Linked DNA regions of Anolis sagrei. The protein of the gene in region 2 interacts with the protein of the main gene of each other region in a pairwise test. Links are inferred from orthologs where the notes say so. Each region holds a gene or a part of one and is shown on either strand. Other genes may lie near its edges. The genes, in order: AIRIM, RINT1, FAM110A and SGF29.

The links.
Region 1: the proteins of RINT1 (region 2) and AIRIM interact in binary tests that used the Homo sapiens proteins (3 or more experiments, as listed by UniProt). The two-hybrid records come from large-scale screens. The link is inferred for Anolis sagrei from reciprocal best matches to the Homo sapiens genes RINT1 and AIRIM.
Region 3: the proteins of RINT1 (region 2) and FAM110A interact in binary tests that used the Homo sapiens proteins (3 or more experiments, as listed by UniProt). The two-hybrid records come from large-scale screens. The link is inferred for Anolis sagrei from reciprocal best matches to the Homo sapiens genes RINT1 and FAM110A.
Region 4: the proteins of RINT1 (region 2) and SGF29 interact in binary tests that used the Homo sapiens proteins (3 or more experiments, as listed by UniProt). The two-hybrid records come from large-scale screens. The link is inferred for Anolis sagrei from reciprocal best matches to the Homo sapiens genes RINT1 and SGF29.

What each region holds. Positions count from the first base shown.
Region 1 is NC_090034.1:86,340,266-86,347,666, reverse strand, and holds the start of AIRIM (AFG2-interacting ribosome maturation factor), read left to right. Parts: upstream 1-4,384; 5' UTR 4,385-4,681; coding exon 4,682-4,800; intron 4,801-7,401. UniProt on the Homo sapiens protein: Part of the 55LCC heterohexameric ATPase complex which is chromatin-associated and promotes replisome proteostasis to maintain replication fork progression and genome stability.
Region 2 is NC_090025.1:83,924,666-83,931,649, forward strand, and holds the start of RINT1 (RAD50-interacting protein 1), read right to left. Parts: upstream 3,010-6,984; 5' UTR 2,894-3,009; exon of another isoform or gene 2,886-2,893; intron 158-2,885; 5' UTR 134-157; coding exon 86-133; intron 1-85. UniProt on the Homo sapiens protein: Involved in regulation of membrane traffic between the Golgi and the endoplasmic reticulum (ER); the function is proposed to depend on its association in the NRZ complex which is believed to play a role in SNARE assembly at the ER.
Region 3 is NC_090024.1:240,806,522-240,814,471, reverse strand, and holds the start of FAM110A (protein FAM110A), read right to left. Parts: upstream 3,038-7,950; 5' UTR 2,880-3,037; intron 1-2,879.
Region 4 is NC_090026.1:23,382,026-23,390,151, forward strand, and holds the start of SGF29 (SAGA-associated factor 29), read left to right. Parts: upstream 1-5,084; 5' UTR 5,085-5,122; coding exon 5,123-5,265; intron 5,266-6,410; coding exon 6,411-6,512; intron 6,513-8,126. UniProt on the Homo sapiens protein: Chromatin reader component of some histone acetyltransferase (HAT) SAGA-type complexes like the TFTC-HAT, ATAC or STAGA complexes.

The DNA.
Region 1 (7,401 bases), on a different chromosome or scaffold from region 2:
TGCAAGGAAGCACTGGGACGTCTGGGTCTGAGAACGTTGGGGTAGCATTAATCCTGGAGTAAATGGGGAGCTGCTCCACGATGGTGGGGCTTCCCTCTTAACGGGCATCCTATGGCCTTTGAACTTGTGAAGCCTCTGTGGAAACCCAAAGACATGGGGCAGCATTGGGACCAATCTCAGTAAACAGAAACTTTCTGCAGACTGCTGCGTGTGCTACTGCTGGCTCCGTCCTTCCTTTTACAGAGAGGGGGTGGGGAGGGTGGACATTGCTGCAAATGTGTCTGTTGAAGACCTGTATGTGGAAGGAGGCCTGTGCAAGAGAAAGGGGCCAGGAAAGTAACAGGCGGGAGGGTTGTGTACAAGGTTGAGAATTCAAAACAATCTAACAGAATAGAGATGGGCCCAACCTAACAAAATGAAGTTCAGCAGGGACAAATGCAAGATAATCCACTTAGGCAGAACAACTGAAATGCCATGATACAGAATGGGAGATGCCTGATTCTACAGCAGTACATGTAAACAAGATCTTGGAGTCCTCATGGGGAGGAAGGTGAACATGAGCTAACAATGTGATGCGGCGGCAAAGAAACCCAATTGAATTTTGGCCTTCATAAATAGGTGTATACTATCTAGATCCAGGGAAGTCATGCTACCCAACTATTCTGCCTTGGTCAGATCACACCTGGAATCACACTGTGTCAAATTCTGGACACTGTAATTGAAGGGAGATGTCTGGAAAACAAGCCCTATGAGGAGTGGCTTAAAGAGCTGAGCTTGTTTAGCCTGCAGAACACAAGGCTGAGAGGAGACATGATGAAGGGCATGTATAAACATGTGAAGGGAAGTCATAGGAGGGACCAGGCTTGTTTTCTGCTGCCCTGGAAACTAGGACATGGAACAATGGCTTCAAACTACAGGAAAGGAGACTCCACCTGAACATTAGGAAGAACTTCCTAATGGAGAGAGCTGTTCAGTGGAACTCTGCCCTGGAGTGTGATGGAGGCTCCTTCATTGGAGGCTTTGAAACAGGCTGGATGGCCATCTGTCAGGGGGGCTTTAAATGCAATTTTCCTGCTTCTTGGCAGGGAGTTGGACTGGATGGTCCATGAGGTTTCTTCCATGATTCTAGGTGATGAGCACTAGGGTCCCTGAGCCCCCCCTCCCCAGGAGGGAGAGACAGACAGAAAGAAAGAAAGAAAAGAAAAGAAAAGAAAAGAAAAGAAAAGAAAAGAAAAGAAGGGCTGGCCAGGAGTTACTGGTGCCAGGCTCTTGCCCTCTGCCTGGGCCTTGCTGCCAAAGGCCTGTCTTGTTTGGCGTGTTAAGCTCAATCTATGAGTGATGGGAGTTCTCTAAATATCCTAGTGATCTGTTAGTACCGGATTCGAACAGAAATCACAGGCAAGGACGGCAGAAGTTTCTTTCCACATTCAAGAAGTCTTTTATCTTCCAACAATGCATACATGCAAAGCTTTGTATAAAACCAAGTCCTCTCACTTTCTCCCCTCAGCAATCTTCACAGCAGTTCTCTCACGTAGATCTCTCTTATTTTGGAAAACCAGAATCTCCCTGGTTTTCCAACCATTTTAAAAATAACCTTTTGTAAAATTATGATCTTCCAGAGAAGAACAAAAAAATGTATCATTTGAGTAAAATCTTCTCTTGTGTGGGATATAACCACATGTACTTATGCAAAGCATTTTGGTTGTTAGGCTGATAACCTGGTTTTCTTTTATCTGTTAGGAACAGAAGCAACGCCAATGCGTAAAATATAGCCATTCTTCAGAAGTATTTTTTTCAGTGCCTAAAAACATCTACTCTCCCATAAAACATCTTGTTTCGATATCATTCTCTGAAGAGACAAAAATAAAGTGGACTTTGTTAAAAGTAACATTTGGTTTACTCACAACCTTCATGTATTCAGTATATAGGTACATAACTTGTCAAGTTATAGATAGGTTTGAAGTAGTTACTCTGTGCAGATAACACAGGGCATCTTTCTTACAATCAACAACATGAGTTGTCTCTTAACAGTCCAAAGTCAAGCAGGTAAGAGGTAGTCTTAACAGTCTGAGAGTGTAATGGAGTCTGAGGTCTGAGCAGTCTCAGAACTGATCATGTGGTCCCACAACCTCAAGAAACAGAGTAAAGGGAAAGCTGCATACCAAAACATACATATACAACACAGTAAGCAAATGGAAACCTATACAAACAAATTACTAGTGGAGGCTTGAAGGTTATTTCCAACGTCTTTGTAACATTCAGCAACACCAGCATAAACACTCATCCACAGTCATCATGCTAGCTGCCCCACTGTTATCCTAGATCTGGCCAATCACATATTGTATTGCATCATACATGGTGTCCCAACAGTGCACCGTGGTTGCACCAGACATTAGGCATTGCACACTGGTTTCATCATCCTCGGAAACTTGTCATTCTGACTCTGCAGTTAGCTCCTGAGGGTTTTGTGTGTGTGTGTTTGTGTGTGTGTCAGGAGTGAATAGAGAAACTGCAAGTCGCTTCTGGTGTGAGAGAATTGGCCGTCTGCAAGGTCATTGCCCAGGGGATGTCCGAATGTTTGATGCTTTACCATCCTTGTGGAAGGCTTCTCTCATGTCCCGCATGGGGAGCTGGAGCTGACAGAGGGAGCCCAACCTGCTCTCCCCAGATTCGAACCTCTGACCTATTGGTCAGCAGTCCTGCCAGTACAAGGGTTTAACCCATTGCGTCACCTGAGCTCTTTCTTTCTGAGTATGATGACATAGGGTTGCTGTGAGCTTTCCAGGCTGTATGGCCATGTTCCAGATGCATTCTCTCCTAACGTTTCACCCACATCTACGGCAGACATCCTCAGAGGTCATGATGTCAGTTGGAAACTAGACAAGCGAGATTTATAGATCTGTGGAATGCCCAGGGTGGGAGAAAGAACTCTTGTCTGCTTGAGGCAAGTGTGAATTTTATTGCCATTGGCCACCTTGATTAGCATTGAATGGCCTTGCAGCTTCAAAGCCTGGCTGGTTGCTGCCTGGGGATCCTTTGTTGGGAGGTGTTAGCTGGCCCTGATTGATTCTTATCTGGAATTCCTCTGTTTTTTTGAGTGTTGCTCTTCATTTACTGTCCTGATTTTAGAGTTTTTTAAATACTGGTAGCCAGACTTTGTTTATTTTCATGGTTTCCTCCTTTCTGTTGAAATTGTCCACATGCTTGTGAATTTCAACTCAAAATACATATTAATTTTATTTATTTATTTGCGACATTTATATGCCACCCTTCTCACCCCGAAGGGGACTCAGAGCGGCTTACACATTATTTGTACATATAATATATTATATTATTAGCATAGCACATTATTAGTATTATGTATTTCCATATTGTACTATACAACTACATTTATTTATTTATTTCTCGCACTTCTACCCCGCCCTTCTCAACCCCCGAGGGGGGACTCAGGGCGGCTTACAAAAAGGCACAATTCGATGCCGGCACAACAACAAGGTAAAAAATAAAACATAAACAGTAATTAAAACAATTAAAACAATCCATTATACATCACAATCCCTAAAAACAATCTAGTGCTCAACGTTTACCAGCTCATAGTCCATAAATTCAAATTCCACATTGTCCAATCCAGCAATTCTAGTTGTTGCTTGCCCCTTATCTATCCGCCAGATAACCCGAAGGCCTGGTCCCAAATCCATGTTTTTAATTTCCTTCTAAAGACGAGGAGGGATGTCAATGACCTAATTTTTCCGGGGAGTGAGTTTCACAGGTGAGGGGCCACCACCGAGAAGGCCCTGCTCCTCATCCCCACCAATTTCTCTTGTGATAGAGGTGGGGCCGAGAGCAGCACCTCCCCAGAAGATCTTAAACTCCGAGGCGGGACGTAGAAGGAGAGGCGTTCGGACAGATACGCTGGGCCGGAACCATATAGGGTTTTGTAGGTCAAAACCAGCACTTTGAATTGTGCTCGGAATTGGATCAACATTGTAATATCATTAGTAATATTACATGTTATATATATATATGTAATTATTAAATTTAATTATTAGTATTATATTATATTATAATATTATCAATATTATATGTGTATACAATATATTAGCACAGCACAATATCAGTATTATATATTACTATATTGTACTATACCACTATACTGTAAAATTATTAGTAATATTACTTGTAATATAAATATATAATTATTATATTGCATTATTATTAGTATTATGTTGCATTACATTATAATATTATCAATATTATATGTGTATAATATACTTTATTTTCATTTCAAATCCTGACCTGTCTTCCCAGTGGGACTCTGCAGGTGCCCAGCTTGGCCCAGGTAAGGGCAGGGGATGCTTAGAAGTGCACTATCTGGCTTCCTCAGGCCTGCCTTTCCATTGGACTTGAAGGCTCTTTCCACAAATGGGACAACGCTGACATTCCCACTTGTCTTCTCACATTTGCAGCCTAGGATGCTCCATGAAATGGGATTGGCTGATTTTTATTTTTTTGCAAAGGTGTTCAAATCTGGTTCAGGAAGCTGCAGGGAGAGACAAGAGAATACAGCTTTCCTGCCCTTTGCCTGAATGGAAGAACAATGTTGGATCCAAGCTTTTGAAGTTCAAGCAATGTGGATTCTTTATGAGCCTGGCCACAGAGAGAAGGGAGTCCCCGCCTGCAGATGCCTGTGACGTCACTCCAGGGCAAGCCACGCCCATCGGAGGAGGCGGGAGGGCGGTGGGACTCCATTTCCCGTCAGGCCCCGGGGCGGCTAGAGGAAGGGAAGAAGGCGGAAGGCAGGTGAGTTAGTCAAGGGAGCCTATCTAGGCACATTATTTGCTTTGAAATTGATTATAAGGCAATGTAGCCCAGGTATGGGTAAACTTGGGCCCTCCAGGTGTTTTGGACTCCAACTCCCACCATTCCCAACAGCCTCAGGCCCCTTACTTTTCCCTCTCAGTTCTTCAAATGTTTTGGACTCCAACTCCCACCATTCCCAACAGCCTCAGGCCCCTTCCTTTCCCCCCTCAGCTCTTCAAGTGTTTTGGACTCCAACTCCCACCATTCCCAACAGCCTCAGGCCCCTTACTTTTCCCTCTCAGTTCTTCAAATGTTTTGGACTCCAACTCCCACCATTCCCAACAGCCTCAGGCCCCTTCCTTTCCCCCCTCAGCTCTTCAAGTGTTTTGGACTCCAACTCCCACCATTCCCAACAGCCTCAGGCCCCTTACTTTTCCCTCTCAGTTCTTCAAATGTTTTGGACTCCAACTCCCACCATTCCCAACAGCCTCAGGCCCCTTCGTTTCCCCCCTCAGCTCTTCAAGTGTTTTGGACTCCAACTCCCACCATTCCCAACAGCCTCAGGCCCCTTACTTTCTCCTCTCAGCTCTTCAAGTGTTTTGGACTCCAACTCCCACCATTCCCAACAGCCTCAGGCCCCTTCCTTTCCCCCCTCAGCTCTTCAAGTGTTTTGGACTCCAACTCCCACCATTCCCAACAGCCTCAGGCCCATTACTTTCCCCTCTCAGCTCTTCAAGTGTTTTGGACTCCAACTCCCACCATTCCCAACAGCCTCAGGCTCCTTCCTTTCCCCCCTCAGCTCTTCAAGTGTTTTGGGCTCCAACTCCCACCATTCCCAACAGCCTCAGGCCCCTTACTTTCCCCTCTCAGCTCTTCAAGTGTTTTGGACTCCAACTCCCACCATTCCCAACAGCCTCAGGCCCCTTACTTTCCCCTCTCAGCTCTTCAAGTGTTTTGGACTCCAACTCCCACCATTCCCAACAGCCTCAGGCCCCTTCCTTTCCCCCCTCAGCTCTTCAAGTGTTTTGGACTCCAACTCCCACCATTCCCAACAGCCTCAGGCCCCTTACTTTCCCCTCTCAGCTCTTCAAGTGTTTTGGACTCCAACTCCCACCATTCCCAACAGCCTCAGGCCCCTTCCTTTCCCCCCTCAGCTCTTCAAGTGTTTTGGACTTCAACTCCCACCATTCCTAACAGCCTCAGGTTCTTTCCTTAAGTGGCTGGGGGGGAAAGGGGCCTGAGGCTGTTAGGAATGGTGGGAGTTGGAGTCCAAAACACCAAGGGCCCAAGTTTACCCATACCTGGTCTACACTGCCTTATAATCCAATTTAAAGCAAATAATTGGATTTTATATGGCAGTGTAGAAGGGGCCTCTGCTGTACTTTTCCAATAAAGATGTAATAAAAATTGAAATATTGTCTATTTCTGCTTCAAAAGTGGTATTTCCTGTTTCATTATGCGATCATTATTTTCAAAGGAGTTCTACTCCAGAAACATCATTTTTGTGGCTGCCAGGACTTTAAGATCGTCCGGGGAGGCCCTGCTCTCCATCCCGCCTGCGTCACAAACACGTTTGGTGGGGACGAGAGACAGGGCCTTCTCAGTGGTGGCCCCTCGGCTATAGAACGCCCTTCTTGGGACATTAGATCGGCCCCCTCTCTCTTAACATTTTGGAAAAGTGTCCAGACTTGGTTGTTTGAGCAAGCATTTGAAAATGCAAGGTAAAAGACATAAGAATTAGAATGACTGGACGACGAGATTGGACAGTGATTTTATTAGGAGACGCAAATGATCTATGTTTTTAATACTCTTGTTATAGTTTTATATTATGTGTTAATGTTTTTAAATGTTTTATGGTGTTTTGTGCATTGAATTGTTGCCACTGTAAACCTCCCTGAGTTGCCTGAGGGTTGAGAAGGGCGGTATACGAATACAGCAAATAAATAAATAAATAGGTTGAAATTGGTTGAGACTCTTATGATGAGATAGTCACTGAAAAACTGAAAATTGTGTTACATAGTGTCCTAATTTGGTTTACAGTAGAGTCTCGCTTATCCAGTCTTCGCTTATCCAACATTCTGTATTATCCAACGCAGTCTGCCTCCCGCCCGGAATAATGTCCAGGGTGGGAGAAAAAAAGAACCCTTGTCTGTTTGGGTACTAAATTTGTAAATACAGTAATTACTGCATAATGTTACTCTGTATTGAACTGCTTTTTCTGTTGATTTGTTGTAAAACATGATGTTTTGGTGCATCATTTGTAAAATCATAATGTAATTTGACATTTAATAGACTTTTCCTTAATCCCTCCTTATTATCCAACATTTTCGCTTATCCAACGTTTTGCCAGCCCATTTATGTTGGATAAGCAAGACTCTACTGTATTATCTGTCTCTCCTTTTAATCCAAGGCGGGGCACAACACAGGCAGATCTATCAAATCCCATATTGAAACATAGTTAAAATGCAGCTACAAAAGCATATATTAAAACATAAAAGGTAAAGGTTTCCCCTTGACATTAAATCTAGTCGAGTCCAACTCTGGAGCATGGTGCTTATCTTCATTTCTAAGCCGAAGAGCTGGCGTTGTCTGTAGACATCT
Region 2 (6,984 bases):
AGGACATAATTAACTAGTGAAAAACAGATAAAGAGAATACAATTATTAGAAATATGCCTAGAAAATGGCAAATAAATCCACATACCTCTTCAGAGAACAAAGGTTCTTCACTTTCAACCAATGGTTGCGCCATCTCCAAAGAACACGATTAAATATTCTGCAATGAAAGATTATTTACAATTTGATTAATTAAAAGTTGGGCACAACCATATGTATATAGGATTTTATCTTGAAAGCAATGCCAGAAAATTGAAACAGGGTCAAAACCACATATATACACATATACACAAATATACACACACAAAGCACATACACACAGACTGGGCCACAGCAACGCATGGCAGGGGATGGCTAGTCTATATAAATAAAAATGTAATGGTAGTTTGTGGGATTAACATAACTCAAAAACCACTGGACGAATTGCTGCTAAATTTGGCCACAAAACTCCTACTAACCTAATGAGTGCCCATCACTCATCACAGTGGAGGACCTTCTTGCAGCAACACCAGAGGCACTCCAAGTGGCCAGCTACTGGTCAAAGGACATTTAATCAACTACAAAACTCACAAATTTTGTATTCTGTCTGTTTGTTTGCTTTGTTCTGTTAGAAATGTAATATAATCGACTGGTTGAGCTGACACGGTAAATAAATAACCATCACTCAAAAAAACTGTTTTTGTCATTTGGGAGTTGTAGTTGCTGGGATTTATAGTTCACCTACAATCAAAGAGAATTCAGAACTCCACCAATGATGGACTTGAACCAAATGTGGCACACAGAACTCCCCTGACCAACAGAAAACACTAGAAGGGTTTGGTGGGCATTGACCTTGAGTTTGGGAGTTGTAGTTCACCTACATCCAGATAGCATTGTGGACTCAAAACAATGATGGATCTGGACCAAATTTGGCACAAATATTCCATATGCCCAAATATGAACACAGATAGAGTTTGGGGGAATTAGACTTTGACATTTGGAAGTTGCAGTTACTGGGATTTATAGTTCACCTACAATCAAAGAACATTCTGAACCCGGAGTTTCGGGATACGATGTCATCTGTACGCAGATGATGTCCAACTCTGTCACTCCTTTCCATCTACTACTAAGGAGGCTGTTCAGGTTCTGAACCGGTGCTTGGCTGCTGCGATGGTCTGGATGAGGGCGAACAAATTGAAATTGAATCCAGACAAGACAGAGGTACTCCTGGTCAGTCGCAAGGCCGAACAGGGTATAGGGTTACAGCCTGTGTTGGACGGGGTCGCACTCCCCCTGAAGACGCAGGTTCGCAGCTTGGGTGTGATCTTGGATCTTGGATTCAGGCTTCAGCAGTGACCAGGGGAGCATTTGCACAGTTAAAACTAGTGCGCCAGCTGCGCCCGCACCTTGGGAAGCCTGACTTGGCCACGGTAGTCCATGCTCTAGTCACATCCCATTTAGACTACTGCAACGCTTTCTACGTGGGGTTGCCTTTGAAGACTGCTCGGAAGCTTCAAATGGTCCTACGATCGGCAGCCAGGATGCTAACAGGAGCGGCACTCAGGGAGCATACCACTCCACTGCTGCGCCAGCTCCACTGGCTGCCAATTTGCTACCGGGAAGAATTCAAAGTGCTGGCTTTAGCCTTTAAAACCCTAAACGGTTCTGGCCCGACCTACCTGTCCGAACGCGTCTCCTCCTTTGAACCAGTTAGGACATTAAGATCGTCTGGGGAGGCCCTGCTCTCGATCCCGCCGGCTTCACAAGCACGCCTGGCGGGGACGAGAGACAGAGCCTTCTCAGTGGTGGCCCCTCGGCTGTGGAACGCCCTTCCTGCAGATATTAAATCGACCCCCTCCTTGCTGGCATTCCGGAGGAAAGTAAAGACCTGGCTGTTTGAACAGGCATTCGACTAAATAGTGTGATTGATTGACTGACTATCGGAACACGGAATATCGGATAACGAGTTTGGATTCTGATTTCATTGATGAGACCTGATGGATTTGTTATATTGATGTAGTGATGTATTGATATTGATGTTTAATGATGTTTAATGATTTGTGGAGCTATTGCTTTTAAATACTTAATGATTTTGTATTGTGTATACGTAAATTGTTGTGAACCGCTCTGAGTCGCCTAAGGGCTGAGAAGAGCGGAATACAAATTTTTTAAAAAAATAAACCCCACCAACGACAGAATTGGGGCAGAAAATACTTAAGGCCATCCAGTCCAACTCCCTTCACCAGAGCAAGAAAATGTAATCAAAACCCTCCTGACAAAGAGCCATCCAGCTACAGATATAGATAGATATATAAGATTGATACAAAGAGAGATATAGTATCATAGATTTGAAAGGGACCCCTAAAGAAGCACAATTATATGTTGCATATTCCAGAATAGGCAAACCAGACAATCTTCACATCTACATTGACAAAGAAACAGCAATAAATACTGTTTACTCACAAGCATCAAGAAATTACATAGATTAGAAGCCAACATTTTCTCATTACTTTATTTTCCAGATCACCAGACTGAGCCACAGCAACGCGTGGCAGGGGACGGCTAGTTTCATAATAAATGGCGTGGGGAAAGCAATTCCTCTACAAGCAGGCCAAAGAACCAGTTGCCTGCCAATGTTATGGGCAAGGGGGCTTAAATACAGTCCAAGGGCTCCTTTGGAATAGAAGAAATTAGTCAAGGGAGGTGTAATCCTAAATGGAAGAATGCAACTCAGCCCTGGTTGAGAGCAACTGAAAGCAGGACAGTCCTGAGGCGGAGTGGCCATATTTCCTCCCAAGTTTGGCCGTTGCCAGGTAACAACCCCCCCCCATGGAGTAATCCCTTAGCAACCACTCCCCCCCCCCCCCCAATTTTGAGGAGAACGAGGCGCGCGCGAGGCGTCCACCTACCCACTCACCGGCCTCCAGGTTTAAGCCACGCCCCTTCGCTTGCCCCGCCCCTAACAGCGACGCGTCAGCAGCAAACTCTGCCAAACCCGGCAGCCCGCCCTCCTTCTAAGCGAGCAGCAACGCGAGAGCGGAGAGGGGCGCGTGCTCGAACAGGCCCGTCCCCTCGCTCCAAGGGTCACGTGGCCACCGCAGCTGCGTCCCTGCCTGGCCGAGGGAGGGTGGAACAGCCAGCACTCAACTTCCGGCTTGGGTTTCGGAGCCATTTTCCTCCTGCGGCGGAAGTGACGACAGTCCATAACATTACAAAAGGGGGCGAGGTAAGTGGGAGGAAACCCAGCATAGCGAACTTGTGGTTGGCTAGCAAGTTACATGTGCCTCCAAGTTGTGTGTTGTGGCAATTTCATAAGGCTTGGCTTAGGTCAGGAATACTCACACCCCTTCGAGGTCCCTTCTGTATAAATTCTACATTATCTGATTTGAACTGGATTGTATGGCAGTGTGGACCCAGAATGCCAGGGCAGAAAATCCCACAAAATCTGCTTTGAAGTGGGTTATCATAGAATCAAAGAGTTGGAAGAGATCTCATGGGCCATCCAGTCCAACCCCCTGCCAAGAAGCAGGAATATTGCACTCAAATCATCCCTGACAGATGGCCATCCAGCCTCTGTTTAAAAGCTTCCAAAGAAGGAGCCTCCACCACACTCCGGGGCAGAGAGTTCCACTGCTGAATGGCTCACAGTCAGGAAGTTCTTCCTCATGTCCTTGTAGTTTGAAGCCATTGTTTCTCATCCTAGTCTCCAGGGAAGCAGAAAACAAGCTTGCTCCCTCCTCCCTGTGGCTTCCTCTCACATATTTATACATGGCTATCATATCTCCTCTCAGCCTTCTCTTCTTCAGGCTAAACATGCCCAGCTCCTTAAGCCACTCCTCATAGGGCTTGTTCTCCAGACCCTTGATCATTTTAGTCGCCCTCCTCTGGACACATTCCAGCTTGTCAATATCTCTCTTGAATTGTGGTGCCCAGAATTGGACACAATATTCCTGGTGTGGTCTAACCAAAGCGGAATAGAAGGGTAGCATTACTTCCCTAGATCTAGACACTATGCTCCTATTGATGCAGGCCAAAATCCCATTGGCTTTTTTTGCCGCCACATCACATTATTGGCTCATGTTTAACTTGTTATCCACGAGGACTCCAAGATCTTTTTCACACGTACTGCTCTCGAGCCAGGCATTATTGTCCCCCATTCTGTATCTTTGCATTTCGTTTTTCCTGCCAAAGTGGAGTATTTTGCATTTGTCACTGTTGAACTTCATTTAGTTAGTTTTGGCCCATCGCTCTAATCTGTCAAGATAGTTTTGAATCCTGCTCCTGTCCTCTGGAGTATTGGCAATGGCTATCCCTCCCAATTTGGTGTCGTCTGCAAATTTGATGATCATGCCTTTTAACCCTTCATCTAAGTCATTAATAAAGATGTTGAACAGGACTGGGCCTGTTCAAGTAGGAATAAGGCTTGGCTTAGGTCACGAATCCTCACACCTCTTCGAGGTCCTTTCTGTATAAAATCTACATTATCTGCTTTGAAACAAGCATCCCGAGCTCTGAGGATCACCTGGGAAGGAATCCCACTGGAGCATTGCAGCACACCCAAATACCTTGGAGTCACTCTGGACCGTGCTCTGACCTACAAGAAGCACTGCCTGAACATCAAGCAAAAAGTGGGTGCTAGAAACAATATCTCAGATATGCAGATGACACCACTCTGATGGCCGAAAGCGAGGAGGAGCTGAGGAGCCTTCTCATCAAGGCGAAAGAAGAAAGCGCAAAAGCCGGGTTGCAGCTAAACGTCAAAAAAACCAAGATTATGGCAACAAGAATGATTGACAACTGGAAAATAGAGGGAGAAACCGTGGAGGCCGTGACAGACTTTGTATTTCTAGGTGCAAAGATTACTGCAGATGCAGACTGTAGCCAGGAAATCAGAAGACGCTTACTTCTTGGGAGGAGAGCAATGTCCAATCTCGATAAAATAGTAAAGAGTAGAGACATCAGACTGGCAACAAAGATCCGCCTAGTCAAAGCCATGGTATTCCCTGTAGTAACCTACGGATGTGAGAGCTGGACCTTAGGGAAGGCTGAGCGAAGGAAGATCGATGCTTTTGAACTGTGGTGTTGGAGGAAAGTTCTGAGAGTGCCTTGGATTGCGAGAAGATCCAACCAGTCCATCCTCCAGGAAATAAAGCCCGACTGCTCACTGGAGGGAAAGATACTAGAGACAAAGTTGAAGTACTTTGGCCACATCATGAGGAGACAGGAAAGCCTAGAGAAGACAATTATGCTGGGGAAAGTGGAAGGCAAAAGGAAGAGGGGCCGACCAAGGGCAAGATGGATGGATGGCATCCTTGAAGTGACTGGACTGACCTTGAGGGAGCTGGGGGTGGTAACGGCCGACAGGGAGCTCTGGCGTGGGCTGGTCCATGAGATCATGAAGAGTCGGAGACGACTGAACGAATGAACAACAACAACAGAAACAATATCATACAAAAGCTGACTGGCACAACCTGGGGATCACAACCAGACACAGTGAAGACATCTGCCCTTACACTATGCTACTCTGCTGCTGAGTATGCATGCCCAGTGTGGAACACATCTCACCATACTAAAACAGTGGATGTGGCTCTTAATGAGACATGCCGCATTATCACGGGGTGTCTGCGCCCTACACCACTGGAGACATTACACTGCTTATTGCACCACCTGACATCCGCCGGGAAGTAGCAGCCAATAGTGAAAGGACCAAGGCAGAGACCCCTTCAGCTCATCCCCCGTTTGGGTATCAGCCAGCACGTTGACTTAAATCAAGACATAGTTTTCTTAGATCTACAGAGACACTCGCTGGAACACCTCAGCAAGCGAGAGTCCAAAAGTGGCAGGCTCAAACCCATTCTACACTGCCAGACAATCCACTTTATCAAAGCAGAAAATCCACACTATCTGATTTGGATTATTTTTGGCCCCTTCCACATCTTCTATATAAATAAAAATCTAATGTTAGCTTGTGGGATTAACATAACTCAAAAAACACTGGACGAATTGACACAAAATTTGGACACAATACACCTATCAGGCCAACAAGTGACCATCACTAATAAAAACACTGAAAAACACAGCGGAGGGTCTTAAAAAGCTAAAAAATCAAAAAGATGCTACAGCACATATGCAAAAACAACTCCCCTGGCAAACAAAACACACAATAGTGAAGTCGTCCCATTGGCTTCAATAGCATATTCATTTGCCTGGTGTCCCTATGGGATGTCTCTTACTTGATGTCCAGATGTCTCTTACTTGATGCCTCTTATAAAGGATATCCCTTGTTTAAGTCTTGGAAGCTTTCCTTTTATACATACAGAACAAGATGCCTCAAAAATCCTGTATTGTGGCATGTGAGCTTTCCATAAAGACAGAAACGTGTACCTGTGTCATTTATGAATGTGTGCAATGTGATCATTTTACAGAGATAAAGGTTGGTGTTTAGCTGGAACACAAAGCCTATTAATAGTGATTTCTGATTTTATCATTTTTATTTGCCATCTTTTCATAATAACAGTGAAAGCAGGGGAACAAAACCGGAGTGAAAGAAAGTAGGAAATTAGATAGAGAGGAGGGTTACTAGTGAGGGGTTGGACTAGAGTGGGAAGGGGATGGAACGGGGGAGGGGAAGTAGGGAAGGAGTGGGGTGAATAGAGAAAAATAGGGGGGTTAAGGGACTTCCAGTCCATGCCACAGAGAGATAATATTTCCCAAATAATATTTTTGTGGATAGTCCGCTATTTTTGTTATTTCGGGGTTTTTTTCTTTTCTTTTTTTCCCCATTCTTTTTCCGAATTTTTATAATTTCATCTTCTCTTGCAGGTAAATTTTCAGTGGTAGCCAGTTGGTTATGGTCTTTAAGTAGTTGCGTATTCATATATTCTATTACTTTCGCTGTCCATTCCTCAATTGAGGGGGGGGGGGGGGGCTATTAAAAGTGATTTCTGGATTGTCAGCTCTGCATGCCATATCAATTTCAACTGCCCTATGCTGCTGTTTGGACGCTTT
Region 3 (7,950 bases), on a different chromosome or scaffold from region 2:
GTTTCTTTTTCACATATGATAATCCAGGCCCTATTCTGGGAAGTGTATATTCTCCATCTGTTGTCCTCCCAGCCATCTAGACCACACCTGGAATATTGTGTCCAATTCTGGGCCCCACAATTCAAGAGAGATATTGACAAGCTGGAATGTGTCCAGAGGAGAGCGACTAAAATGATCAAGGGTCTGGAGAACAAGCCCTATGAGGAGCGGCTTAAGGAGCCTGGCATGTTTAGCCTGAAGAAGAGAAGACTGAGAGGAGACATGATAGCCATGTATAAATATGTGAGAGGAAGCCACAGGGAGGAGGGAGCAACTTGTTTTCTGCTTCCTTGGAGACTCGGACGCAATGGAACAATGGCTTCAAACTACAAGAGAGGAGATTCCATCTGAACATGAGGAAGAACTTCCTGACTGTGAGAGCTGTTCAGCAGTGGAACTCTCTGCCCCGGAGAGTGGTGGAGGCTCCTTCTTTGGAAGCTTTTGAACAGAGGCTGGATGACCATCTGTCAGGGGTGATTTGAATACAATATCCCTGCTTCTTGGCAGAATGGGGTTGGACTGGATGGCCCATGAGGTCTCTTCCAACTCTTTGAAGGAGACCATGAAAATCAACACAATCTGGCTACTAGTATTTAAAAACTCTAATATCGGGACAGTAAATAAGGAACAACACTCAAATACAGGGAAATTCCAGACAATCAGGGCCAGCTAATCACCTCCCAACAAAGGATTCCCCCAGAGAGGAAGCAGGCAAGCCTTAAAGCTGCAAGGCTATTCAATACTAATCGAGGTGATCAATTGCAGCATTCACACTTGCCTCAAGCAGACAAAGAGTTCTTTCTCCCACCCTTGACATTCTTCCACAGATATATAAACCTCACTTGCCTAGATTCCAACAGACCTCACAATCTCTGAGGATGCCTGCCATAGATGTGGGTGAAACGTCAGGAGGGAATGCTTCTCGGACATGGCCAAACAGCCCAGAAAACTCACAGCAACCCATGATCCCTTAAGTCTTGAGCGATTATTCCTAACTCAATCCAACGATCCTGTGTTCTCGTCAAAAGAAAAGTTACATTTTTCTGTTGGCCCTCCATCTATCATGAGAAGGAATCTTGGAGCTTTCCAGATGTCCTTGGACAACAATTCCCATCATCCCTGACCAGCAGAGCCAGTTGTGAGGAATACTTTGGGTTCCGGTCCCTATATTTCCGAAGGCCATACAGTTCTCTGCCCTTCTCTACTGGGTATGGGACAAAAAGGGAAGGAAAAGGGGATTTTATTATTATTTCTGTATTCTATTATTATTATTATTATTGTTATTATTATTGTATGGGGACTTTCGTGGCACCTTAAAAGCTAACCTTAAATCAAAGCTTTTGCCCTTTTTTCAGAGACAAGCATAGGTGAAAATAAGCCAATAAGTTTTGAAAGTGTCCAAAAACTTGTATTTTCTTCCAGCTTTCTATGAGAACCAATGACCTAGGACATCTTTGAAAATAGATACAGGGCAAGCACTCTACCTGTTGGATTTCTACCTGCAGCACAAATCTTGGAGTCTTGATAGCGAGGGAAAGTGGGAATAGAAGTCTTGCATTACTAAGAAGACACACCTAGGTGTCTAAAGGAGAGAGGGTTGCCACCCTACCTGTTGGATTTCTGCCTGCCACACAGCTCTTGGAGACATGATAATCTGGAAAGTTGGGGAAATGGGAGTCTTCTGCTCCTAAGAAAAAAGTGACTTTGGCGTCTAAATGAGGGAGAAGTGAAGCACTCTACCTGTTGGGTTTCTACCTGCCAGGCAGGTCTTTGGGGCTTGATAGCCAGGGAAGGGGGAATAGAAGTCATGCATTACTAAGAAAAATGTTCTGAGAGTTGAAAAAGAAAGTAGGCACTTTACCTGTTGTATTTCTACCTGCAACACAAATCTTGGGGTCTTGATAGCATGGGAAAATGGGAATAGAAGTCTTGCACAACTAAGAAGACAGACCTAGGTGTCTAAAAGAGAGAGGGTTGCCACCCTACCTGTTGGAGTTCTGCCTGCCATACATGATAATCCGGAAAATGGTGGGGGAAAGGGATGAGAGCCTTCTGCTGCTACGAAAAAAGTGACCTAGGTGTCTAAAAGAGAGAGAGGTCAAGTTCTCTACCTGTTGGGTTTCTACCTGCCAGGCAGCTCTTGGGGACCTGATAGCCAGAGAAAGGGGAATAGAAGCCATGCACTACTAAGAAAAATCATCCGGGAGTTGAAATAAGAAAGCAGGCACCCTACCTGTTGGATTTCTACCTGCAACACAAATCTTGGGGTCTTGATAGCATGGGAAAATGGGAATAGAAGGGAATAGAAGAAAGACCTGGGTATCTAAAAGAGAGAGGGTTGTCAGTCTACCTGTTGGATTTCTGCCTGCCACATATGATAATCCGGAAAGTAGGGGGAAAGGAAATGGGAGCCTTCTGCCACTAAGAAAAAAGTGACTTAGGTGTCTAAAAGAGGGAGAGGTCAATCACTCTACCTATTAAGTTTCTACCTGCCAGGTAGTTCTTGGAGACTTGATAGCCAAAGAAAGGAGAGAAAGAGGAATAGAAGCCATGCACAACTAAGAAAAATGCTCTGGGAGTTGAAAAGAGAAAGCAGGCACCCTACCTGTTGGATTTCTACCTGTCATGCAGCTCTTGGAGACCTGATAGCTGGGGAAAGGGGGAAAATGGGAATCGGAGTTTTGAGCTAGTAAGAAAAAATGATCCTGGGAGTTCAAAAGAGAGGGCAGGTAGATGCAACTCTACCTGTTGCATCTCTGCCTGCCTGGCATGGCTCCTCAGTTGGCAGGACAATCTGCAACGTGGGCAGCAATGGAGGAAAAGAAAGGGAGCTTTCTTACCTTCTTGAGAGAGAAAACAGGAGCTCCTTTCCTCCTTTCGTCTCTTCTCTGAAGCAGCTGCTTCTCGTTCTGCCTGCGCCGAGTTAAACCTTCCCAGGTGACCTGAGCGCCCAGGTGAGCGCCTTGCACAACTTCCTGTTGACACTCACCTGGGGAATTTCCCTTCCTGAAGGGGGTTCGCCCAGCAGCAGAGAAGAAGGCAGCAGCATTTGGGAAGAGAGAGGGAGGGAAAGAGGGCTTGCCCAAGGAAGGCACTGCCCTGCCTCCCTGCAGAAAGCCTGCCAATGATTCCCAGCAGTCCTTGCAAGGATAACAACAACAGGTTTGATTCCTTGCCATACTCTCCTTAAGGCTGGGTGCAGCATAGAATCATAGAATCACAGAGTTGGAAGAGACCTCATGGGCCATCCAGTCCAACCCCATTCTGCCAAGAAGCAGGAATATTGCATTCAAATCACCCCTGACAGATGGCCATCCAGCCTCTGCTTAAAAGCTTCCAAAGAAGCAGCCTCCACCACACTCCGGGGCAGAGAGTTCCACTGCTGAACGGCTCTCACAGTCAGGAAGGTCTTCCTCATGTTCAGATGGAATCTCCTCTCTTGTAGTTTGAAGCCATTCTTCCATTGCGTCCTAGTCTCCAGGGAAGCAGAAAACAAGCTTGCTCCCTCCTCCCTGTGGCTTCCTCTCACATATTGATACATGGCTATCATATCTCCTCTCAGCCTTCTCTTCTTCAGGCTGAACATGCCCAGCTCCTTAAGCCGCTCCTCATAGGGCTTGTTCTCCAGACCTTTGATCATTTTAGTCGCCCTCCTCTGGACACATTCCAGCTTGTCAGTATCTCTCTTCAGTTGTGGTGCCCAGAATTGGACACAATATTCCAGGTGTGGTCTCACCAAAGCGGAATAGAGCATGGGTAGCATTACTTCCCGAGATCTAGACAGTATGCTCCTCTTGATGCAGGACGAAATCCCATTGGCTTTTTTTGCCGCCACATGACATTGTTGGCTCATGTTTAACTTGTTGTCCACAAGGACTCCAAGATCTTTTTCACATGTACTGCTCCCCCATTCTGTATCTTTGCATTTCGTTTTTCCTGCCAAAGTGGCAAGGGGTCACTTGTTGAACTGTTGAACTTCATTTTGTTAGTTTTCATCCAGTGGTTTTTGTTAAAACAAAAATATATCTCCTTCCCCATTGGTTTTCAGCATTTCTCTCTCCGCAATGCTAGCAATGTTCATGGAAATGCTAATGATGATGATAACAATAATAATTTTACTCACTACCTGCCTCTCCTTAAGGCTAGCAATCTATATAAATAAAAATGTAATGTTCATTTGTGGGATTAACATAACTCAGAAACGGCTGGATGAATTGACACCAAATTTGGACACAAGACACCTAACAATCCAATGTATGTCCTTCACTCAAAAAAAATTGATTTTGTCATTTGGGAGTTGTAGTTGCTGGGATTTATAGTTCACCTACAATCAAAGAGCATTCTGAACTCCAACAATGATGGAATTGAACCAAATGTGGAACACAGGACTCCCATGACGAACAACAGAAAACACTAGAAGGGTTTATTTATTTTATTTATTTCGTGTACTTCTACCGCGCCCTTCTCAACCCCCAAGGGGGGACTAAGGGCGGCTTACAAAAAGGCAAAATTCGAGGCCTACACAGTAATACAGATAAAAAATAGACAGCAATTAAAACAGTTTTAACAGTTAAAAACAATCAATATATATCACAGTCAATAAAAAAACAATCTTATGCTCAACGTTCGCAACTCAGAGTCCATAACTTCATTCCACATTTTCCATTCCTATCAGTCGTCGTTGTCCTTTATTTATCTGGCAGATTGCCCAAACGCCTGGTCCCAAATCCATGTTTTTTATTTCCTTCTAAAGGAAAGGAGGGATGACGATGATCTAATTTCCCCAGGGAGTGAATTCCATAGGTGAGGGGCCACCACCGAGAAGGCCCTGCTCCTCATCCCCTCGTTTCGTGGGCATTGACCTTGAGTTTGGGAGTTATAGTTCACCTACATCCAGAGAGCACCGTGGACTCAAAAAATGATGGATCTGGACCAAACTTGGCACAAATATTCTATATGCCCAAATATGAACACAGATGGAGTTTGGGGAAAATAGACCTTGACATTTGGAAGTTGTAGTGGCTGGGATTTATAGTTCAACTACAATCACAGAGCATTCTGAACCCCACCAACGATAGAATTGAGCCAAACCTCCCACACAGAACCCCCATGACCAACAGTGTTTCTGGTGGTACCTGGTGACCCCTCTGACATCCCCTCGCAACCCCCAGGTTGAGAAATGCTGTCTTAAGGCCATCCAGTCCAACTCCCTTCACCAGGGCAAGAAAGCATAATCAAAACCGAAATGCTCTTTGATTGTAGGTGAACTATAAATCCCAACAACTACAACGCCCAAATGTCAAGTCTATTTTCCACAAATTCCACCAGTTTTCACATTTGGGCAAATTGAGTATTCATGCCAAGTTTGGTCCAGATCCATCATTGTTTGAGTCCACAGTGCTCTCTGGGTACAGGTGAACCACAATTCCAAAACTCAAGGTCAATGCCCACCAAACCCTTCCAGTATTTTCTGTTGGTCGTGGGAGTCCTGTGTGCCATGTTTGGTTCAATTCCATCACTGGTGGAGTTCAATATGCCCTTTGATTGTAGGTGAACTATAAATCCCAGCAACTACAACTCCCAAATGACAAAATCAATTCTCCCCCCAACCTCACAAGCCCACCAGTATTCAAATTTGGATGTATTGGGTATTTGTGCCAAATTTGGTCTAATGAATGAAAATGCACCCTGCATATCAGATATTTACATGATGATTCATAGCAGGAGCAAAATTACAGTTATGAATTAGCAACAAAAATAATTTTATGGATGGGGGTCACCACAACATGAGGAACTGTATTAAGGGGTCGTGTCATTAGGAAGGTTGAGAAACACTGATCTATACTGTAGAATAAAGGCAATTAGACACCACCTGAAGTGCCATAGCTCAATGGGAGTTGTAGTTTTACAAGGTCTGCAGCCTTCTCTTCTCTGTTGGTGCTGAGCTACAAATCTCATGATTCCATAGCATTTGGACATGGCAGCTCAAATGGTGTTGAACTGCATTCATTCAACTGTATAGATCAGGCATGGGCAAACTCTGGCCCTCCAGGTGTTTTGGACTCCAACTCCCACAATTCCTAACAGCCGGTAGGCTGTTAGGAATTGTGGGAGTTGAAGTCCAAAACACCTGGAGGGCCAAAGTTTGCACATACCTGGTATAGATGCACTCTTAGTGCGTCGCTGACTTTCAAGGTGCCAACTCCTTGTCTCCAGGGATTTGTCTCTTTCCAACGTACCTGAAAACCAATTAGCAGACCCTTTCCAGACGATTTGCAAACTGCATGTAGCTTTATAGTTATCTTTCTCACTGTGCCTATCTTTCTAGAAATCAGTTCCCCCTTCCAAGACATCAGGAAGTGTGGTGGGCTGGGGTTGTCCCATATTTTGCAACCAGACTCGACTTAGAAATGTATGTTTTCCCAGTATATCTGAAAATCAAAACACCGCCTCCTAATTTGCTAGGCAGCAGGGGTGTTTGGGTTGCTAGACTCTTGTCTCTTGCGCATTTTGACTTCAAATGCATCTGGAAATCAATACACAGATATTGACAGCAGCAAGGTGGGGTTGGGCTATCACTTTTATTAAATGCTAAGTATCCTACAATACTCCAAATCCTGTCTGGTTTTGGAGGCTCAGTAGGGTCACCTCTGGTTAGTGCTTGGATGGGAGACTGCCAATGAATATCAGGTTCTATATTTCAGAAGAAGGAATTGGCAGAACCATATCTGAATATTCCTTCCCTAAGAAAACCCTCTGAGATTCATGGAATTGCCATAAATACAGGCATCATGAAGGCACATATAATATACACAGATGGATTGAATGATGGACCATCAGTGATACAAATACTATCCATGACCCTATTGTTGGCTATTGATGCTGTTTCCAAGTAGTGCCATTATGATGCTGTTTTGGACCATTCTTTTCAGATGTACATAGACTCTCAGTTAACAGGCAACCATGGGGAATGATAGGTGCTGGATACATGTAGTTTCTGGTTGCTTGGGAGTTGCTATTAAAAATAGGTGTAACAAATACCATACCCCATATTGTACCATGCCATGAACTCTGTATTGACTTGATATTAATAGTGCAATACAGTCACTGAAAGTACATCAAGACAAAGACAAACTTAACTTAAAGTAACACAGGTTTAATTATCAAAATAGGTTTGTATTTGTTGCTGCTTATTTTCAGACTAGCTGTACCTGCCACGCATTGCTGTGGTCAACCTTCCCTCCCTCTTTCTCTCCTTCTTTCTCTCCTTCCTTCACTCTCTCTTTCCTTCCCTTTTCTTCTTTCTTTCTCTCCTTCCTTCCCCCTTTTTCTTTTCCTTCCTCTTTCTCTCCTTTCTTCTTTCTCTACCTCTTTCCTTCCTTTGCTTTTTGCTTCCATCCTTCCTTCTCTCTTACTTTCTTTCCTTCCTTCCATCTTTCTCTCCTCCTTTCTCACCTTCCTTCGCTTCCTCTTTCCTTCCTTCCTTCCTTTTTTCTTTCCTTCTCTCCTTCCTTCCTTCTCTACCTCTTTCCTTCCTTCTCCCTTTTCTGTTCCTTTTTCTTTCTCTCCTTTCTTCCTTCTCTACCTCTTTCCTTCCTTCCTTTGCTCTTCGCTTCCATGCTTCCTTCTCTCTTTCCTTCTTTTTTTCCCTCCCTCTTCCTTCCTTCCTTCCTTCCTTCCTTCCTTCCTTCCTTCCTTCCTTCCTTCTCTACCTCTTTCCTTCCTCCTCTTTTACTTTCTTTCCTTCCCTCCGTCTTTCTCTCCTCCTTTCTCTCCTTCTTTCGCTTCCTCTTTCCTTCCTTCCTTTTTTCTGTTCCTTTTTCCTTCTCTCCTTCCTTCCTTCTCTACCTCTTTCCTTCCTTCCTTTGCTCTTTGATTCCATGCTTCCTTCTCTCTTTCCTTCTTTCTTTC
Region 4 (8,126 bases), on a different chromosome or scaffold from region 2:
TGGATGGGGCCACACTCCCCCTGAAGACGCAGGTTCGCAGCTTGGGTGTGACCCTGGACTCATCGCTGAGCCTGGAACCCCAGGTTTTGGCGGTGACCAGGGGAGCATTTGCACAGCTAAAGCTTGTGCGCCAGCTGCGCCCGTACCTTGGGAAGTCTGACTTGGTCACGGTAGTCCACGCTCTGGTTACATCCCGTTTAGACTACTGCAACGCTCTCTATGTGGGGTTGCCTTTGAAGACAGCTCGGAAGCTCCAACTAGTCCAACGCTCGGCAGCCATGATTTTAACAGGAGCGGAGCGCAGGGAGCATACAACCCCCCTGTTGCGCCAACTCCACTGGCTACCGATCTGCTACCGGGCTGAATTCAAAGTGCTGGCGTTGGCCTTTAAAGCCCTAAACGGTTCTGGCCCAAGCTACCTATCTGACCGCATCTCTGCCTATGAACCCACCAGGACTTTGAGATCTTCCGGGGAGACCCTGCTCTCGATCCCGCCTGCTTCTCAAGCTCGGCTGGCGGGGACGAGAGATAGGGCCTTCTCGGTGGTGGCTCCTCGGCTGTGGAACACCCTTCCTATGGACATTAGACTAGCACCATCTCTAATGGTATTCCGCAAAAAGGTGAAGACCTGGATGTTTGTGCAGGCGTTTGAGTAATTTAGTGCAATCTGGTAATGGAATATAGGAATGGAACAATGGACGACGAACCTGGACTACGCTTGGATGATGAGAAGATTGGGTACGGTTGTTTTTCGTAATAATTGTGCATTGTAATTGCTTATTGGTAATTTATGGATAATGTGTTAAGTCAATTGTTATATGTTGTATGGAACCACTGCTGTTTCTACTGTTTTTACTGTTTGTGAACCGCTGTGAGTCGCCTTCAGGCTTGTGATACAGCGGTATATAAGCAAAGTAAATAAATCTATATATATAAATCTGTTAGGTTGGTTCAACCGGACAGGTAAACTCTAAACCCCCCCAACGAAACTGCACCAAAATTGCCATGGCCCTAGGACAACCCACTCGGTACAAACTAATCCACTCACAATTACAAACAACACAACAACACACTCACAAAGTGGCAAAACAACTGAGCATGCGCACTGCCGCAAAGTCCCCAGCGCGCGCGCACACATGGCCGAACGGCCGAACGGCACTTCCCTCCCTCCCTCGCCCAGCACGAACACGTCGCCGCCACAAACACACACACACGCATCGCAACTTCCTCCCACCCCTTCCGGCCCTGAAACACTCCTTCCCTCCTCCAACGCAGCTCTGGTAAAACACACCCCCTCCCTTCCCCGCAACACAACCAAACGCCGGTAACAACCCCTCCCCCCGCTAACTCACCACACCTCCCTTCCCCGCAACACACAAACACACACGCCGCTAACGCACACCTCCTCCCTTCCCCGCAACACAACCAAACGCCGGTAACAAACCCCCCTGCCTTCTACACAAACACACACGCCGCTAACTCACCACCCCTCCCTTCCCTACAACACACAAACACACACGCCCCTAACACACACCCCCTCCCTTCCCCGCAACACAACCAAACGGCGGTAACAAACCCCCCTGCCTTCCCTGCAACACACAAACACACACGCCGCTAACACACACACCATCCCTTCCCCGCAACACAACCAAACGCCGGTAACAAACCCCCCTGCCTTCCACACAAACACACACGCCGCTAACTCACCACCCCTCCCTTCCCTGCAACACACAAACACACACGCCGCTAACGCACACCCCCTCCCTTCTCCGCAACACAACCAAACGCCGGTAACAAACCCCCCTGCCTTCCACACAAACACACACGCCGCTAACTCACCACCCCTCCCTTCTCCTTCTTACCTCCTCCTTCTTCTTCCCCAATCTCACCTCCTCCCCCTCCTTCTTCCTCCCCTCCCCTCTAGGCGAGAGAGGCTTCGTGCAAAGCTAGGCCCCGCACAAAGCCTCTGTTGCCTAAGCCGCGCCCCTGCCGCCCGCTTCCTTCTTGCCTTTTTGGACGACTCCGGCCAGAGGGAGGGACGACGGAAGAACAGCAAAAGAGGCGAGTGCTGGGAAGGGAAGGGAAGGGAAAGGCGGGGGGGGGGGAGAGGAAGGGGAGGCTCCACAACACAACACAACGTCTCACAACAGAAGGAGTGACCATCACTCAAACAATTATGATTTTGTCATTTGCGAGATGTAGTTCCTGGGATTTACAGTTCACCTACAATCAAAGAGCATTCTGGACTCCACCAATGATGGAAATGAACCAAACTTGGCACACAGAACTCCCATGACCAACAGAAAGCACTGGAAAAGATTGGAGGGCATTGACCTTGAGTTTGGGAGTTGTAGTTCACCTACATCCAGACAGCACTGTGGACTCAAACAATGATGGATCCGGACCAAACTTAGCATAAGCATTCAATACGCCCAAATATGAACACAGATGAAGTTTGGGGAAAATAGACCTTGACATTTGGGAGTTGTAGTCACTGGAATTCACAGTTCACCAACACTCAAAGAGCATCGTGAACCCCACCAATGACAGAATTAGGGCAAACATGCCACACTGAACCCCTATGGCCAACTATGGCCAAAATACTCAAGTTTACACACAAGCATAAAGAAGGGGGAGGAAGGAGGGATGCCAGAGACAGAAAGAGAGAGGAAAAGAGGGGAAAGGAAGGAGTGTGAGAGAGAGAGAAAGAGGGAAAGAGAGAGAGAAAGAGGGGAAAGGAAGGAGTGTGAGAGAGAGAGAAAGAGGGAAAGAGAGAGAGAAAGAGGGGAAAGGAAGGAGTGTGAGAGAGAGAAAGAGGGAAAGAGAGAGAGAAAGAGGGGAAAGGAAGGAGTGTGAGAGAGAGAAAGAGGGAAAGAGAGAGAGAAAGAGGGGAAAGGAAGGAGTGTGAGAGAGAAAGAGGGAAAGAGAGAGACAAAGAGGGGAAAGGAAGGAGTGAGAGAGAGAGAAAGAGGGAAAGAGAGAGAAAGAGGGGAAAGGAAGGAGTGAGAGAGAGAGAAAGAGGGAGAGAGAGAGAGAAAGAGGGGAAAGGAAGGAGTGTGAGAGAGAGAAAGGGGGAAAGAGAGAAAGAGGGGAAAGGAAGGAGTGTGTGTGTGAGAGAGAGGGAAAGAGAGCGAGGGAAGGAAGGAAGAGAGGCCAGGCAGAGAATTCAAAACTCTTACTAAAGGCCACAGCAACGCGTGGCAGGGCACAGCTAGTAAATAAATAAATAAATAAAAGCTCTGTGCCGGCAGGACTGAAGACCGACAGGTCATAGGTTCGAATCCAGGGAGAGGCGGATGAGCTCCCTCTATCAGCTCCAGCTCCTCATGCGGGGACATGAGAGAAGCCTCCCACAAGGATGATAAAAACATCAAATAATTCGGGCGTCCCCTGGGCAATGTCCTTGCAGACGGCCAATTCTCTCACAACAGGAGCGACTTGTAGTTTCTCAGGTCGCTCCTGACACGACAAATAAATAAAACCAGCTCAGGAGTCGTGAAGGACTTTCTGAGCCATGAGAGTTGCTGGTTTTATGAAACAGTGGCTTTTTCCTTCATATTTTCATATAAACATACATCCATACACATAGGGGATGGGGAAATGGGGCAGGGTCTAAGTGAAAGTCACGTCAGCCCCTCAAAGTCCATTAAAGTCCATAAAGTTTGGCAAGAGTTTATAAAAGTTCCTATAAAGTTCATGGGAAGTCCATTAGTTGGGCCATAGGGCCATAGAAAAAGCCTTAGGTTCCCACATGGGGGAGATAGAGGATTATGAGAGGATTCCAGCCTGGTGTCCTTGGCAAAACTATGAATTCCCTGATTTTGAACCATATTTTACAGAGTCCGAGGGGATGGGGGGAGTTACTTTCGATCTCAATGCCTGATAAAGAGTTATCAGTCCCAACCAAGACAACCACTCAAATCAATTGGAACTTGATGAACTGCAACTCCCATTGGCCCTACCCAGAAGAATCACCCATAATTCCCACCATTGGTTTAACAACAAGTTGCCTTGTCCTTTCAGTTTTCAGAGGCCTTACCTCAGCGAAAGCTGCACAATCTTATCTCGAATCAATAGCGCTGGTTCACCTTGTACTCAATAGATGAACAATTATTAACTAACTAAACGTTAGTTAGTTAATAGGCAACACTTAGCCTATAGGGCGGAGTCAACACTTAGCGGCGAAAAACAACTGGGTTTCAGCCAGAGTTGGAAAGAAGCAGGGGCTTGAAGAACCGTTGTACCTAGCTTAGCATCCGCACATCTACACTGTAGATCAGTTTGTCACCACTTGAAAAGCCATGGCTCAATGCTATGGGATCGGGAGAGTTGTAGTTTTACATGGTTTTGGGCCTTCTCTGCCACAGCCATTCAACTGCAATGCACCTTCAAGCAGTGCAGATGAGGCTTCACTTGAAGCTTAGGCCTCTTTGGTTCTTTGTTTGGACTTCATGACATTTGGCCAAACTGGCTGCTTCCCTGGAGACTAGGACGCGGAACAATGGCTTCAAACTACAAGAGAGGAGATTCCATCTGAACATGAGGAAGAACTTCCTGACTGTGAGAGCTGTTCAGCAGTGGAACTCTCTGCCCCGGAGTGTGGTGGAGGCTCCTTCTTTGGAGGCTTTTAAACAGAGGCTGGATGGCCAACTGTCAGGGGTGATTTGAATGCAATATTCCTGCTTCTTGGCAGGGGGTTGGACTGGATGGCCCATGAGGTCTCTTCCAACTCTTTGATTCTATGATTCTATGGCTGAGACTTCTGGGACTTGTAGTTCAAAAGAGCATTGACTTATAAGCTGTTTTTATAATAAACATGCTTAAAATTGCATTGTCCATCAGTCCCAATATTTTTTTTAAAATATTGGATTTCCAAAAATAATTCTGTGCCTTGAAGTTGCCTGTTGATTTAGGGCTCTCATGTAGTAACTAATGCGCATGCGCGTCAGGAAGGCTGCTATAGCATTGGTACAAAGTCGGCTCGGCATTGGAATGCGAGAAGACAGCGAAACGAACGTTGCCGAGAATATTACGCATGCGCACTAGAACTCATCTGTCCTCCAGTCAGAAAAAAAAAAACTTCAGTTGCGCGCGCCGCCCAAAGGCAGGTTCCAAACTGCGCATGCGTGGTACTCCTTCCTGCGGATTTAGCGCCATTTTCAGTCGTACCCGCATTTTTTTTAATTTTTATATTTTTTTTGTTTTGTGTTTTCTCGCACCCGCATTCCTACGTCGTCCTGCTGCTACCGATCTAAGTCCCAAACGGTAGGGAGCGGGGGAGGGCGCTGCTACAAAGAAGGGTGCTGAGGGCGAAACCAATATGTGGCTTTGCGCATGCGCGCTCGCTCTTGCGCTTGGGAGCCAGGAAAACGTGGCTTTTGGTTTTGCGCATGCGCAACCACTTGTTCAGCTGCAGCCAGAGTATAACCCTATTGTTTTACTTTGTAATAAGGAATTGTGAGAGTCCAAAGGCTATTACAGAATTTGAGGAAACATGTGCTGCCATATTGAGCAAAGCTTCTTCTCCAAGCATATTACTTTAACAAAGATCTATTTTTAGGGTAGAAAGTAGCAATATTAATAAACCTACACATTGAAGACATTATATTCCTTTTGTTATTGGAAGCTAAATAGGACCAGGCCTGGTTAGTACTTGAATGGGAAGCCAAGTACAGAGAACACCAGGTGATGATAATAATACTATTATTGTGTCTTAGGCTACTTTCCCCAAGACTAAAGGTGGGACACAACCTAGAATTATGTGTTGTTGTTCATTCGTTCAGTCGTCTCAGACTCTTCGTGACCTCATGGACCAGCCCACGCCAGAGCTCCCTGTCGGACGTCACCACCCCCAGCTCCTTCAAGGTCAGTCCAGTCACTTCAAGGATGCCATCCATCCATCTTGCCCTTGGTCGGCCCCGCTTCCTTTTACCTTCCACTTTCCCCAGCATCATTGTCTTCTCCAGGCTTTGCTGTCTCCTCATGATGTGGCCAAAGTCTCTAGTATCCTTCCCTCCAATGAGCAGTCGGGTTTTATTTCCTGGAGGATGGACTGGTTGGATCTTCTCGCAGTCCAAGGCACTCTCAGAACTTTCCTCCAGCACCACAGCTCAAAAGCATCGATCTTCGCTCAGCCTTCCCTAAGGTCCAGCTCTCACATCCGTAGGTTACTACAGGGAATACCATGGCTTTGACTAGGCGGATCTTTGTTGCCAGTCTGATGTCTCTACTCTTTACTATTTTATTGAGACTGGACATTCCTCCTTCTGATTTCCTGGCCACAGTCTGCATCTGCAGTAATCTTTGCGCCTAGAAATACAAAGTCTGTCACGGCCTCCACATTTTCTCCCTTTATTTTCCAGTTGTCAGTCATTCTTGTTGCCATAATCTTGGTTTTTTTTTATGTTTAGCTGCAACCCGGCTTTTGCACTTTCTTCTTTCACCTTGATTAGAAGGCTCCTCAGCTCCTCCTCGCTTTCGGCCATCAGAGTGGTGTCATCTGCATATCTGAGGTTGTTAATGTTTCTTCCAGCAATTTTCACCCCAGCTTTGAATTATGTAACTAAACATATTTAAAACGCATAGATTAGAAATAAATATTGGATTAAAGCAGACATATAGGCTATATCCAATATGTGTGATGACACCCAAATATATTTCTCCATGCCTTCAAAGACATCTTCATCTGAGGATAGTATGTCTCCTCTAAACGAATACCCGGAGCAGGTAATAGGCTGGATGTGGATAAACAAATTGAAACTGAATTCAAACAAAACAGGTGCTTGCCACCAAGGGTCCTCATCTGAGGATGGAGGTGTGTCAACCAGTTCTGGATGGGGTTGCACTCCCCCTGAAAGACTTGTGTTTGCAGCTTACTCCTGGAACCATCTCTCCAAATGTCAACCCACGTAGATGTGACAGGAGTGCTTACTATCAGCTTTGACTGATATGCCAGCTGCACCCCTTCCTAGCTTTGGAGGACATAAAGATAGTAGTGCATGCACTGGTAACCTCAAGGTTGGACTTTTGCAATGCACTTGACATTGGGCTACCCTTGTACCAAGTTCGGAAACTCCCAACTCGTTCAAAATACAGCAGCAAGATTGGTTACAGCAGTGGTTCTCAGCCTGTGGGTCCCCAGATGTTTTGACCTTCAACTCCCAGAAATCCTGACAGCTGGTAGACTGGCTGGGATTTCTGGGAGTTGTAGACTAAAACACCTGGGGACAAACAGGTTGAGAACCACTGGGTTACAGGAACATTCAGGAGTAAGCATATCACACCTATCCTAAAGTCACTCCACTGGCTGCCAGTTATTTTCTGAGCTAATTACAAGGTGATAGTTTTGACCTTTAAAGGCCAAGTTACCTAAAGGATCGCCTTCTCCCATACAATCTGCCCCACACACTTCAGTCTTCTGAGGGGCATCTGCTCTAACCAGGCAGAACCTGACTGGCAACCACCACCCAGAGGACCATTTAGTCAGCCTCCCCCAGGCTGTGGAACAACCTGCTGGTAGAGCTCCGACACCTAAATCAGCTGATGGAATTTCAAAACCATGTAAAGATTTATCTCTTCGGGCAGGTCTACCCAGACAGTCTTTCAACATGAATTTTAAATGTCCTTTGTTCCATCTCTGTTTTGTGTGTCATAATATGCAGTTTTTAGAGATACGTTTTGGTGTGTAACTTTTATGGAAGTATGTTTTAGTGTGAATATTTGTAGAGTTTTGCTGTGTTTATATCGTTTAATTGTTTTGTAACCTACCTTGAGCCCTGAGGAGAGGTGGGTAAGAAATAAAATTACTATACACAACAATATTAGTACACAGCAATCAAGATCACTATACTGGCTTCCAAAATGTCTAGGACTGTGTGATGTATTGGCGAATAATGCATGCAGATCCGGGCAGCTGACAGGTGGTAATTTTGTCAGCGCCAATTGTTTTTAAGTGCAGGCCAAGGTCTTTAGGTACTGCACCCAGTGGGCCAATCACCAAATAATAATAATAATAATAATTATTATTATTATTATTATTATTATTATTATTATTAAATCCAGAGGAAGGCAAAGGCAAACCAAGACATCTGAAAAGCAGCGAAAAAGTGGGAGGAAGGGATTATTCA